2 linked regions of the Nothobranchius furzeri genome follow. The protein of the gene in region 1 interacts with the protein of each later gene in a pairwise test. Links are inferred from orthologs where the notes say so. Each region holds a gene or a part of one and is shown on either strand. Other genes may lie near its edges. The genes, in order: mos and sec24c.

What was found.
Region 2: the proteins of mos (region 1) and sec24c interact in binary tests that used the Homo sapiens proteins (3 or more experiments, as listed by UniProt). The two-hybrid records come from large-scale screens. The link is inferred for Nothobranchius furzeri from reciprocal best matches to the Homo sapiens genes MOS and SEC24C.

The regions. Positions count from the first base shown.
Region 1 is NC_091747.1:36,175,073-36,181,495, reverse strand, and holds mos (proto-oncogene serine/threonine-protein kinase mos), read right to left. Parts: upstream 3,166-6,423; 5' UTR 3,012-3,165; coding exon 1,983-3,011; 3' UTR 1,944-1,982; intron 1,839-1,943; 3' UTR 1,662-1,838; downstream 1-1,661.
Region 2 is NC_091756.1:44,413,865-44,420,340, forward strand, and holds part of sec24c (protein transport protein Sec24C), read left to right. Parts: intron 1-3,312; coding exon 3,313-3,439; intron 3,440-6,188; coding exon 6,189-6,340; intron 6,341-6,420; coding exon 6,421-6,476. UniProt on the Homo sapiens protein: Component of the coat protein complex II (COPII) which promotes the formation of transport vesicles from the endoplasmic reticulum (ER).

The sequences.
Region 1 (6,423 bases):
GGGTCAGAACACCACGTACAACTGCCTTCAGTCTGTTTTTAACAGCATTCATAAACCCTGTTTAGAAACGTTGGTGACTCCATCATTATCTGGTGTTTATGAATCCTGTTTGTGTGTAACTTTCATTCACAGTAGTGTTAACAGATAAAGAGCATTCACAAGCAGCAGACATGGTGTGAAACGGAGTTTATAAAACAGACATGGTGCTGTCTGTTAACAGCAATATTGAGACAAACTGTAACCTACACTGTGATCCCATACTCACAGGAACTGATCTGAATATTTTAATGTTGTGATGGTCTGTAGACTACTGGCAAATTAGAAAACAGAAATGTACATCTAAACCTGAGAGGCATCTCAAATGGCTTGAATTCATACTAAAACATCCTTTATAAATGTATCTGTATATTTTTTTCTTCACATTCAGCCAACGTATTAAAATGTATTGCGTTGTGTTTCATACAAGCTGTTTGCCCACCGAAGACTCTTATTTGACACACAGTTGAAGTCAGCCAGGGAAAAATGTTGTAAGGTATGGGTTAGGGAGGGTGGTGGAGTCGGTGAGCCCTGATCTATTCACTCATGGTACTGGAGGGCCACTGGCCTGCATGCTTTAGCCGTTCCCCTGCTCCAACACACCCGATTCAATGATTGAGTCACATCTTCAGTATGTCCTCTAGTTCTTCTAAAGCCTATTCATCACCCATTGAGTCCAGGTATGTTGGAGCAGGAAACATAGAAAACATGCAGGAGTGGCCTTGGGACCAGGGTTGAATAAACCTACTCTATCCCACCTGCATTCCTATTAAGGTCAGATGGAGTCCTGGTGTTCTTATTATTTATTTATTTTAATTTTCATTCGTTTTTCCCAGTTTCTTCACTAATCTAGACGCGGTGAGTCCTCCTGAGAGCATTCAAAAGGTCTTGATCCAAAGTTTGCCTCTTGCAGTCCCAGTGGGGTTTGATGGACAATGTGTGCGCTGTTTCAACTTTTGCATGCCTTTCTCGATGTTTGTTAACTAATCCTGTTGCAGCTGATCAGTGGTGGTTGTCATGTTTTTTCTTCTGTTTTTCAACCCAGCCACATTCCTAGCAGAGTCCAATGGACCCCACTTGTGTTTTTGTTATAGTTTTGAGGAGTGAGCACCACCTTACTCCTGCCACATGGAACCCCAAGGGATAAACCATCAACCCTGCTTAACCATCCTCTGTCGTGGAAGGGTCAGCCAATAGGACAGCAGGAGGGTTAAAGGTTAAACACACTAACATTTCTTGTTCTGGAAAGAGGAGGACAATGTGTCCCTCTGGCCCTCCCTGCTGCCAACATGTCCCAATGCACAGACATCAAGACAATATAGTGTCACTCACACACTACATGCGTTTTGTTTCCAACACCACTTGGAATACAGTGTGACCCCAAAGCGTGCACCAAGTTTTCAGTCTGATGTCACATGAAATGTGTCTATGGGCCAGCGGTGCCAGTGTCATTTTAGATTTTTTACTCTATATATCAACATCCCATAGAAACCTGTTTTATTGCTGATTTTGGTTAAAGAAAAAAATCCCATGAGATTTTTGATATGAACACATTTTAACCTCTTGAGTCCAAAATTTGGAAGACTGAAGCAGACAGCTGAAGTTTTATATGACATGGTCTGAACCCAGAGACTAAAGGCTGCTTTTATTAGGCTGTGAAGTTATTTTCTCTAGAGTATTTCATTTTATTCACATGTATAAAACAATCACATAAAATCATTCTTGCATTTAAATAGAAACCTATAGGGTGGGGGTGTATCCACAGCCCACGTGCACCCAGCAAGTCCACCACGAGCAGCAACCTGGAACCAAATTAAAACCAAACACGAAACCTTTAAAATGATTTTAATGAAATCAAACAAATCTTACAACATTTATTAAGCCAAGAATGAAAACTCAGAGTTCACCTGAGAGCCAGTGCTAGTCTGGGTTCTGTGGTTTGGACATTAAAACCCGCTGTGTGGACCCAGCTGCTGACCCAGATGTTCCAGCTGATCCAGCAGCTCAGAGGCGCTCGGTCTGAGGCGCGTGTCTGCGCTCCAGCAGCGTCCGAGCAGCGTTGCGCACAGCCGCCCCCAGTCGGACCTGAACACCGAGTGGCTCTGGACAGACGGGCGCAGACCGTGCGCCACCACCGAGTACATGATGTGCTGCCGGTCTCCGGTGTAGGGCGGCTCGCGGGTCAGCAGCTGCCACAATGTGATCCCGAACGAGAAGATGTCCACTTTGGAGGAGACCGGTTCTCCTCGGAGCAGCTCCGGGGCTCGGTGCGTGTAGGTTCCACACACGTGGCTCAAATAAGGACTGATGAGTTCGGGATCCCGGTCCAGTTTCAGGGAACAGCCGAAGTCCGCTATCTTGCACACTTCCGTCCGGGACACGAGCACGTTGGCCGGTTTGATGTCCAGGTGCACGACACCGTGGGAGTGCAGGAACCGCAACCCGTCCGCGATGTCCGCCGAGAACTTCAGAGAGCGGTTCGGCTCCAGCAGCTCCGAACTTCCGTAGATGATCTGCTGCAGGTTCCGGCTGCCCACGAACTCCATCAGGATGGTTCCGATGCTGTCCTCCACCTCAAAGTCTGCGGGCACGCACGTGGTGGCCGCGAGGACGCGCACGATGTTCTTGTGGGTCAGGTGCGCAGCGTTCAGTTCGGCCCAGAAACTTTGCCGAGACGCCAGCTGGTTCTTTGAGCTCTTCTTCACCTTCTTTAGAGCCACAGTCTCTCCCAGGTACTCCGCCTTATAGACGGAACCGAACCCACCAGAACCCACCGGCACCACGGAGCGCAGCTGGTCCCAGTGGATCACGGTGGACCAGAACCGGCTGGTGACTCTGCCGTGCGGCCGCTGAGCCGGGACCTGTAAGGTGGACCCACGTCCCGGTTGGGCCAGCGGGCTGCTGCAGGTTCCGATGTCCACGCACGGGTACAGGTCCTTGGGTAGGAGGCGCGTGACTGGGATGGGTGAAGGCATGCCGAGCGAGCGAACACAGGTGCGTCCACGTGCACAGGTGAGTTGCCGCGGTGCGTGACGGGATGCTGCAATGCATCATGGTTGGAACTCTTGTAGGTCCTCGAAGAGGGTCTAGAACCGCGGTCAGAACCGAACTGAGAGGAACCACAAATATTCCAGTTTTAAAAGGTTCTTGTTCTGATCATCAGACTGATGCATAAAAGCATGTCAAAGGTCATGAGCCCGACCTGCACGAGCTCTGGTGAAAACACCCAGGCTCAGTTCTTCACCTACAACAATAATAACAAAGAAACTGAGATATTCTGGAGGGTTCTACTGGAGAACATCTATTGAATTACCATCAATCAGATTAAACATCCATAAAACACCAGCCCACACACAGTCCTGTTGGTTCTGATCCAGAACCGAAACGTTTAGTGAAGAAGGAAGACCAGGAGAGAGTGTGTGTTAGATGTTTCTCTCTTTATTGAGTCTCACGACAGAATCAAAACACTGGAGTCTCATAGCAGCGAGGTGTGTGAGTGAAATCAGGTTATTCTGCAGAGCAATAAATAATCTGTTTCTTTGGATGAACTTCAAACAAAACAACAGCTGCAGCTTAATATCCATTTTATACAACCTCTACACATGTTTGTGATTTATATCGTCGATACGTAGAAAAATACAACAGTAGTTTGTGAAGTATAGAGAAAAGTTGAGATTTAAAAACCAACAGGCTTTGAAGCGGTTTCTGTCTGGGGAGGGGCGTTTCAGGCACGTCTGCAGAAGGACTTCAAAAGTCACAGTACAATAAAAAGACTTTATATAACTATATAAATATGGATGTATACAAACAGATGTAAGTATGTATTAGAAAGAACCGGAGCAAAGTACAAACATTGCATTTAAAGACCAGGAATGTCTGTAGCACCTTAAAGAGCTCCAGACTCACGTAGCAGCATTTCCAATCCTAATGCAGTGTTTCTAACCAACACATTCAGTAAGGTTGACCGGTACCGCTCAAGCTCACAGGCCTAGAACGGGTCTGGATCACCAGAACAGGGTTGGATTCAGTCCAGAGCTACAATCAGTTAGCATTACGGTTCTGAACATGTTCAGGAAACGTCTGTTAGTGAAAATGTCATTTGTTTCATTAGGTTCTAATGTGTAAAATGTCAGATGTGTGAGCAAAACCCACAGCGTTAAATAAATATAACGCTGTTGATCACCAGTGGGTGGGTTTACTCCAGGGGACCAATAGTTTTATTCAACCTAGAAAAATAAATGTTTAGATGCTTTTTCTCGTTAAAAAAAAACTCTTGATAAAGCAGAACTGTTGTGCAAGTAAAGCAAAAATTACACTCTGATAAGAAAACACTGCCAAAACGGTACCTGTAAAAATAAAACACTTTATATAGTATTTACATATAACTGTTCTCTACAATAGCTAAATATATCATCTATACATTTGTGGTAAGGGTTTAGAACAGAGGCTACTGGAGGAACTGAGGTGTTCTATTTACAAAAAGTGCTGCGATTTACAAACAACGCCAACGTGACCAAAGCTTACAGCGATCACACTCACCTATGACCTCCACCCAGATCCTGCCACTGGGAGCAAACGCGGCGGCAGAACCAGTCAGCTAGTGGGTCTGTTAGTCAGTATTATTGCTGTTGGGCTTCACCCTCCTTTTTTAACCATTCTCATCTTTTTTGCGTAAATCAGCTTTAATGGTCATCCTTCATTTCTATCGATGAGTCTGTTAACGACTTTTCTGTGAAAAGTGTCAAAGAGCCTGTGGCTAGTTCCATTTTTCGGGTTTAGAAGGAACAGGCTGTGGAACAGTAACGAGAGAAACGCCAGGTAACACTGTTTGGCTTGTAACAGTAAATCTGGAGGAGCATATCAGTTTAAAGAGCAAGTCACCCCCAAATCAACTATTTTTTTTATGATAAACTATATAAATGCGTGTCTAATTGAGCTGCAGACACGTGTAGTCAATAGTTTTGCACTTTAGTGCATTTTAGGTAAAATTTAAATTTTCTGCCTGAAACTGTCAGTGTTGTGCCGTTGTCAGGTAAAAACTCTTCACTACATTTGAATTTAAATCTGCCACCGCTATTGGGTAAGAGGTATGCTATGATGTAAACTGGTACATTATGATGTCACAATGTCGTGAGTGTGTGTATTTGTTAGTGGCTCCACCCTCTCGGTCTGCTAGGCAACAGCATTTGTTGCATTTTTCAAACATGAAGTGGGAGTGAAGTACGCTTCTTGTAAGGGGTGACTTGCTTTTTAAGCATTAGCCTAATAAAAAAGTGTTATTTCTAAAACATTCCACAGCTGTCTCACATATTCACCATGAATGTCCCACCCTAGCATGGTTGATCAGATGTTTTCTTATAGGTCAACCCTAACCCCTAACCCACACTCTGCACCCAGTTTTCTCAGCATTTAGTAAGTTTTTTATTGACAGTAGGGCAGGGCCATGAATCGAAAATTTATCATTATCGAAATTTCTGACTCTTATTGAGATTGTTTTCCCCATGTCAATAAATTTAATAATACAAATATGAAAAGATGTGTAGGTTGGCAACATTCATGTCTCTTTAAGAAGCGGTACCTTTTTGCATCACGTAAAAATGTGACTCAAGGTAATTCATGTGACAGCCCCATCTAGTGGACGACGTTTGTTTCTGCGCATACCTGTAGTTATCGTCCATTTATCTTTATCAAGGTGAAATCCTCAATATACTGTGATATTGATTTTAGGCTATATCGCCCAGCCCTAATTGACAGAGGTGGTTGTTTAACCTGTAAACATGTTTGCTAAAAACCAGCTAGCTTAGCCACAAGGCGCGCCAAGCTGGATTACACACTCTAAACTGTTAAAACACCACCACCAATGGCTCCGCCCTTGGTACGTGCCGGTAACACCTCCGGTGAAATGGACCAGATACATTTATATTTAAAGGGCTTAAACGCTGTTTAAATCAGGCTGATTACTCCAAAGTCAAGTTGAGGACAACGCAACAAAAAGTCAAGATGAGAAATATGTTCCATCTTATGGAGAAACTCAAAGCTCAGGTAAGGCCCACTCACACAGTAAATGGAACCAACCAAGTCCCCCCACCCCCCCACACAGGTCTAGAACCGTAGAACATATTATTACTTCCTGGTTTGTTACATAAGTTTGTAAAAATGTTCCAGTTTTTTCTAACCAGGAAAAGGTCCAGTAGACCCCTTCACACTGGATGATGACGTTATTTTATATCAGAGGGTGGATGGATCCAGGCAGAGCCAACGAGCCTCTACTACAAGGACTAATGGGTTCTACATCTGTAGTAGGGTGGTGCTGTCCTGGTCAGCCCTGCCAATGGTTCCTTATGGGAAGGAAAGGGCCTAATAACGCTCCCATGCACATAACCCCAC
Region 2 (6,476 bases), on another chromosome or scaffold:
TGTACATTATATTCATGCAATGCACACAGACCAATGTATTTCCAATGTTCATTACATTTAAATTTGATATTCATAAGTGACAACTAATGAAAACTCCAAATTTGGTATCTCAAAAAATTAGAATATTCTGAAAAGGCTGAATATAGAAGACACCTGCTGCCACTCTAATCAGCTGATTTACTCAAAACACCTGCAAAGGCCTTTAAAAGGTCCCTCAGTCTTGTTTTGAAGGCACCACAATCATGGGGAAGACTTCTGACTTAACAGCTGTCCAAAAGACAATCATTGACACCTTGCACAAGGAGGGCAAGACACAAAAGGTGATTGCTAAAGAAGCTGGCTGTTCGCAGAGCTCTGTGTCCAAGCACATTAACAGACAGGCGAAGGGACGGAAAAAATGTGGTAGAAAAAAGTGTACAAGCTCTAGGGATAACCGCACCCTGCAGAGAATTGTGACGACAAACCCATTCAAAAATGTGGGGGAGATCCACAAAGAGTGGACTGCAGCTGGAGTCAGCGCTTCAAGAACCACCACGAGGAGACTCATGAAAGACATGGGATTCAGGTGTCGCATTCCGTGTGTCAAGCCACTCTTGAACATGAAACAGCGCAAGAAGCGTCTCGCCTGGGCCAAGGACAAAAAGGACTGGACTGATGCTGAGTGGTCCAAAGTTATGTTTTCTGATGAAAGCAAGTTCTGCATTTCCTTTGGAAATCAAGGACCCAGAGTCTGGAGGAAGAGCGGAGAAGCACAGAATCCACGTTGCATGAGGTCCAGTGTAAAGTTTCCACCGTCAGTGATGGTGTGGGGTGCCATGTCATCTGCCGGTGTTGGCCCACTCTGTTTCCTGAGGTCCAGGGTCAATGCAGCCGTCTACCAGGAAGTTTTAGAGCACTTCATGCTTCCTGCTGCTGACCAACTTTATGGGGATGCAGACTTCACCTTTCAACAGGACTTGGCACCTGCACACAGTGCCAAAACCACCAGCACCTGGTTCAAGGACCATGGTATCCCTGTCCTTGATTGGCCAGCAAACTCGCCTGACCTTAACCCCATAGAAAATCTATGGGGTATTGTGAAGCGGAGGATGCAATACGCTAGACCCAACAATGCAGAGGAGCTGAAGACGACTATCAGAGCAACCTGGGCTCTCATAACACCTGAGCAGTGCCACAGACTGATCGAGTCCATGCCACGCCGCATTACTGCAGTTATTGAGGCAAAAGGAGCCCCGACTAAGTATTGAGTGCTATACATGCACATTCTTTTCATGTTCATTCTTTTCAGTTGGCCAACATTAGAGAAACAAACATTTTTTCATTGGCCTTTAGAATATTCTAATTTTCTGAGATACCAGATTTGATGTTTTCATTGGTTGTCACCTATAAATATCAAAATTAAACGTAATAAACATCGGAAATACATTGGTCTGTGTGCATTGCATGAATATAATGTACAAGTTTCACGTTTTGAATGGAATTACTGAAATATTTTCAACCTTTTGATGATATTCTAATTTACTGGCCAGCACCTGTATATGGAGAATGGGTTTCCATAGACTCCAATAATAAGTTTTTGTACTAAAATGGGAGGTGGCCACCACCGCCATTTTGACCGTGTCACAGGTTCCATCAAGCCCAGACAATTCCATGAAAGGGAGGAGAGGTGGAGCTGAGGGTGGGGCTGTAAGGTTGGGATCAACTGACGACACCCGGTCGAACTAGCTACAAGCTAACCTGAAGCTAACCCAAAGCTAATGCGGAGGTGGGAGCTAAGCTAACGGAGACAGCAACCTAGCTATAACCGGAGTTAACTGTGCACAACACCAGAGCTTCTGAGTCAGAGATACGCCGGGCTGACCGCTGGGTAAAACCGGGTGGAACACAGAGGTCTCCGAGAGCTCCACAAGCCGGCAGCCGCACAGCAGACAAGCACCGCTGCAATCTGAGATGCGCAGAGCTGCCGCTGGGGAGAACCAGTTGGAAAGGTTTCCATCCCAGAGCTCCACAAGCCGTCAGCCCGCACAGCACACAGAAGCCGCGATCAGACATAGATGCACCGAGCTGCGGGGAGGGGAGGACCGGGTGGAAAACAGAGGTCTCCCAAGAGCTCCACAAGCCGATAGTCGGAACCCAGCTCCACCAACATGTTATATTTCAACCCATTTTCTAAAGTGCAGCATTATGTTAAATGCACTGGGTTTGACCCTTTTACATTTAAATTTCATGGTTAAACAGTACATGTTAAAATCTAAGCTCAGCTCAGCAGTGACCTAAAATTCATAAATATATTTTTACTTACCGTAAAAAATGAAGTGGAGACTCCTTGGACGCTCTATTAGTGCAATTAATGCCACAGCAAGTCATTTTGTCCAACAATTGCACAAAAAATATCCAAAACAGAATACACAAACACAGAGACTCAAAATGCCGGAGCAGTTTGCAAGCCAGACCGAGGCTCTACTGAGGCCTTTCCACGGAGCTAGCTCTGTGGTCACATGGGTCTGATGCTCATTAATTATACAGAATTTTAGGCTTTTAATACACTTAAACAGAAGAGTGAGAAAAAAATTCACCCCCCTCAGAGATGTCATGAGTGTAAACTAGATCATTTAAACCAAAAACATGTTTTGGTACCAGGCTGTAAACATGTTTATTTCTGCTGTGAAATTGGTATTTTTAACATGGGAGTCAATGAGGATTTGCTCGCTTCTGACACCAGCCCCCAGCGGATGAGGGTGCAACTGCAATTTTTGGTACTTCCGGGTTGAGACCCAATTTCTGAGCCGCATTGTGGGGGCTTGGTTTCACTCTTCCTGTAACCATCAGGTCATTTGGATCTTACCGTCCCATCCTGTTTTCCTTGTGAACGACTGACCTTTGGCCCTCATTGTTTACTTTAGCAGTGGTTTACCTCAGCCAAATGTATTAAATGTGTTTCTGGTATGTGGATCATGTGGCTGTGTGTATTTTCACTCTGCATTTAGATCAAGTGTTTTGTTGATATTGATCTGGTGATTTAGTTAGTTTCTGTTGGTTACAAGCAGCATCTCTAAAGTATTAGGTGATATTCTCTTATTTTACTGCATCTCGATTGGCAGACAATCTTAGCTGACCCGGATTTTGGATCTAGTCTCAGCTCCTGACCCCAAAAGCCAAATCTTGGAATGTTATTAGTTGTAATTTGAAAATGTCTTTGGCATTTTGCTGTTAAGCTCGAAGCTCTGATTTAGTAAAATTTAGTGGATTTATGTATAAAAACTGTTTCATCCTATTTCTTTCTATTGTGCTTCATATAATCCTTTTCATCAGGTTCTGCTAGGGGTCCTCCCACCTCTGCACCCCCTCCGGTCTCAGCCCCTCAACAGTACAACCAGTACAGCCACAGTCCAGCAGACATGCAGAACGGACCCCCACCGATGACACAGGCGCCACCCAGGTACAATTCAGTTTGAATGGTTGTGTTTTTAAAAGAGCAAATTTACCGAGAAACCATTTTTTACTCATTATTCTTATAAATGATCAGTAACTAAGTTTTTCACGCAGGCTGAACATGAAAATAGTCTCCTACACCTATCTCCTGCATTAGTTTCTGATAATAGATGGTGAAACTCTAGGATAGAGACCAACTGATATATTCAACTATTTCTGTTATTGGCCATCGGCCGAAATGATTTTTAAAGGCTGATTAATCAATTAACATCAGGCACCTGTGTGGCCAACTGCCACCTCTACTAGACTGAAGAAAGGACCTGAAGGACCCCAACACACCGCGAGCCATGCTAGAACCTTCTTTTAATTTACATTGTTTTATGCTAAGCTAAAACAAAACGTACTGCTTCCAGATCAGGAGAATAACTGAGCTTGTTGGCTACACAATCATTTTTCTGACTTCTCTAACTGGGAACTCTAACAACAGACAAAATTTTACTTCTGAGTGGAATATCCCTTTAAGTTTGGTGTTTAACTCATTTACTACCAATGACGACTTTGCATTTTTTTACTGTGTGGGCATCAGAACGAGCCCCCACACCGTGAAAACAAACGTCCCAGCTCTAAAGCCGATCTTCATAAGCGTACGCCACGCATCACGTGATCAGGAAACAGAAAATCCATGTGTTAGAAGATCGTTTTGGGCCGCTGCTGTAAAAAAAAAAGTGAGGCGCGAACCGGAAAAGCTTCTGCCGATCACAATTCAACAACAGGTTGTGAAAGAACAGATAATGCTTGAAACGCGCGGATTCTTCTTGTTGTAAGAGGTGAGTCTACTCTTTGTTTTGGTTGTTTTGGTAGTTTTGGCGCTGACATCATCTTAAAGCGCAACGTTCTGACGATAAGTCGCATTTTGGGGGGAAATTTTATTATTTTTCTTACAAAATCTGAGACCAAGCATTTCACATTGCAAGACAAGTACCGGTAACAATAAAAGAATAAACAACCAGCTGTTGCAATATTGAGGCATTGAGGTGTGGAGCAGAGGATGCCTGGATGTGCACCACTGGCAGCGGGGAGGGAGAGCTGCAGCCTGGGTGGGTGGGTGGGGGATCCAGGGTGCTGCAGCGCGCCACGGTCTCCAGCAGAGGATGGCGGTGTTTCAGACCCTCCCAGTGGGTGGGGAGAGCTCATTCCTGGGCTGGAGCCGGCCCGCAGCACCCCGTCACAGGCTGCAGCAGGTGATGGCGGTGTTTGAAACCCTCCCAGCGGGACAGGGGAACTCATTTCCGGGTCAGAGCCGGCCCACAGCGGCGCGCCACAGGCTCCAGCAGGTGATGGCGGGGCAGAGGAGCTGAAACCAGGTCCGGAGCCGGCCCGCAGCAGCGCAGTATACATAATTTGGTATATAAGTCGTAGGACCAGCCGACTATAAAAAAAAGTGCGACCGATAGTCCAGAAAATACGGTAATCGGCTTTAGTTATCAGTCATCAGCAACAAAATTCTCGAAAAATCTGTATCGGTGTTGGCTAAAAAAAATAAAAAAATAAAACCTATCGGTCGGCCTCTACCCTTAAGATTTGAAAAGCCTGACGGATCTGAATCACACTGTCATACACTCACCCATCTTGACTCCTGACGGGGAAGGCTGTTGTTGGTTTAGCATCCATAAAACACAAGAGAACCTCTCGACTAGCAGAAATTACCTGTTAGCATTAGCAGCTCCACCACTCAGCAGAACTCCACCAGGATTGTGTTATTTGTGGAGATAGAACATCAACATTGCAGAGCAAACAGAGTCAGTGGTGGACTCACTTTGCCGTTAGACAGTCGGAGGCGATATGTCCAAAATTCAAGAAATAAGACTCCAAATCCTGTCGTCTGCTGCCAATTTCTCCACTGACTGACTAGATTTCAAACAGAAGCATCTGAGCTTTTGTTTCCCCAGAGACCAACTTACAAGGCACTCATCCCACTTAGAGACCACTGCAAATGTATAATAATATGAGTAAATTTGATCTTTGAATTAATTCAAATTCAGAAGCCTGCCCAAGCTGCCATTTAAACACACCAGACAGTTATGAAGCCTTGTGGTTATCTGATATGGGAAATACTTAAAAAAGAAAACTATTAATTTGGTCAAATGCATTTTAATAAACTTAGTGGAACTCGCTTAAAATGCCCAGCATGAGCCTGGAGGATCGGTTCCAGGAGGGGTTTGTGTGAGAGTTTAAAACGCTGGATCAGGTGTTGTGAATCAGCCAGGTGAGATCCTCATATTATTGTCTTGACTGGCTTTGGTCCAGGAAAATTAAGCACTTGGATCAAAGCATTACCACGGCTGTTGTAGCAGATTAATTATAAATGAGTGTGTTTTTCTTTATTGGTGTTAATGTGAGCGTGTCCACATGCAGCTGGTCAGAGCTCCTTTGGAAGTGAGACATTTAAACCGGTGTGTAAGTCTCGTGTGCTGTTGTAGCACACCAGTATGAACTCTTGATGTTCTCTCCATCTGTGGCATTTAGAGTCATGAATAACTGATCTTTCTACAGGATCATTTTTTATCAGCCACAGTTTCACTTCTTCCAGTTAGAGGACATCATCACTCTCAGGTGTACATGCAAATAAAAAAAACCTGTTTTGCTTCATACTCTGCCAAGAAATGCTATTCTTGAGGCAAATCCAGCTGAGGAGAACTGATTTCTCTGATTTGGTACCACAAAACCAGATTTTTTGAGTTGTGGTGTGTTTGCAGGCCAGCTGGATCTCAGCCGTATGGGTTGGGAGGGGGGCAGCCTTCCTACCCTCAACACTACGCTCCTCCACCCACAATGCAACAGGTCACCAACCAGATGGGCGGGATGCAGCTCACATCTGGACCACCAACCCCTGCAGGGCTGGGATATGGTGAGTGTGAGTTTACATTTACACATGATGTCAGAGGCATGCACACACACACTCACACACACTTTCTCCTCTCTGTTCAGCTCCACCTCACAGCTCCCAGCCTCCCATCAGTACTTCCTACCAGTCTGCACCTCAG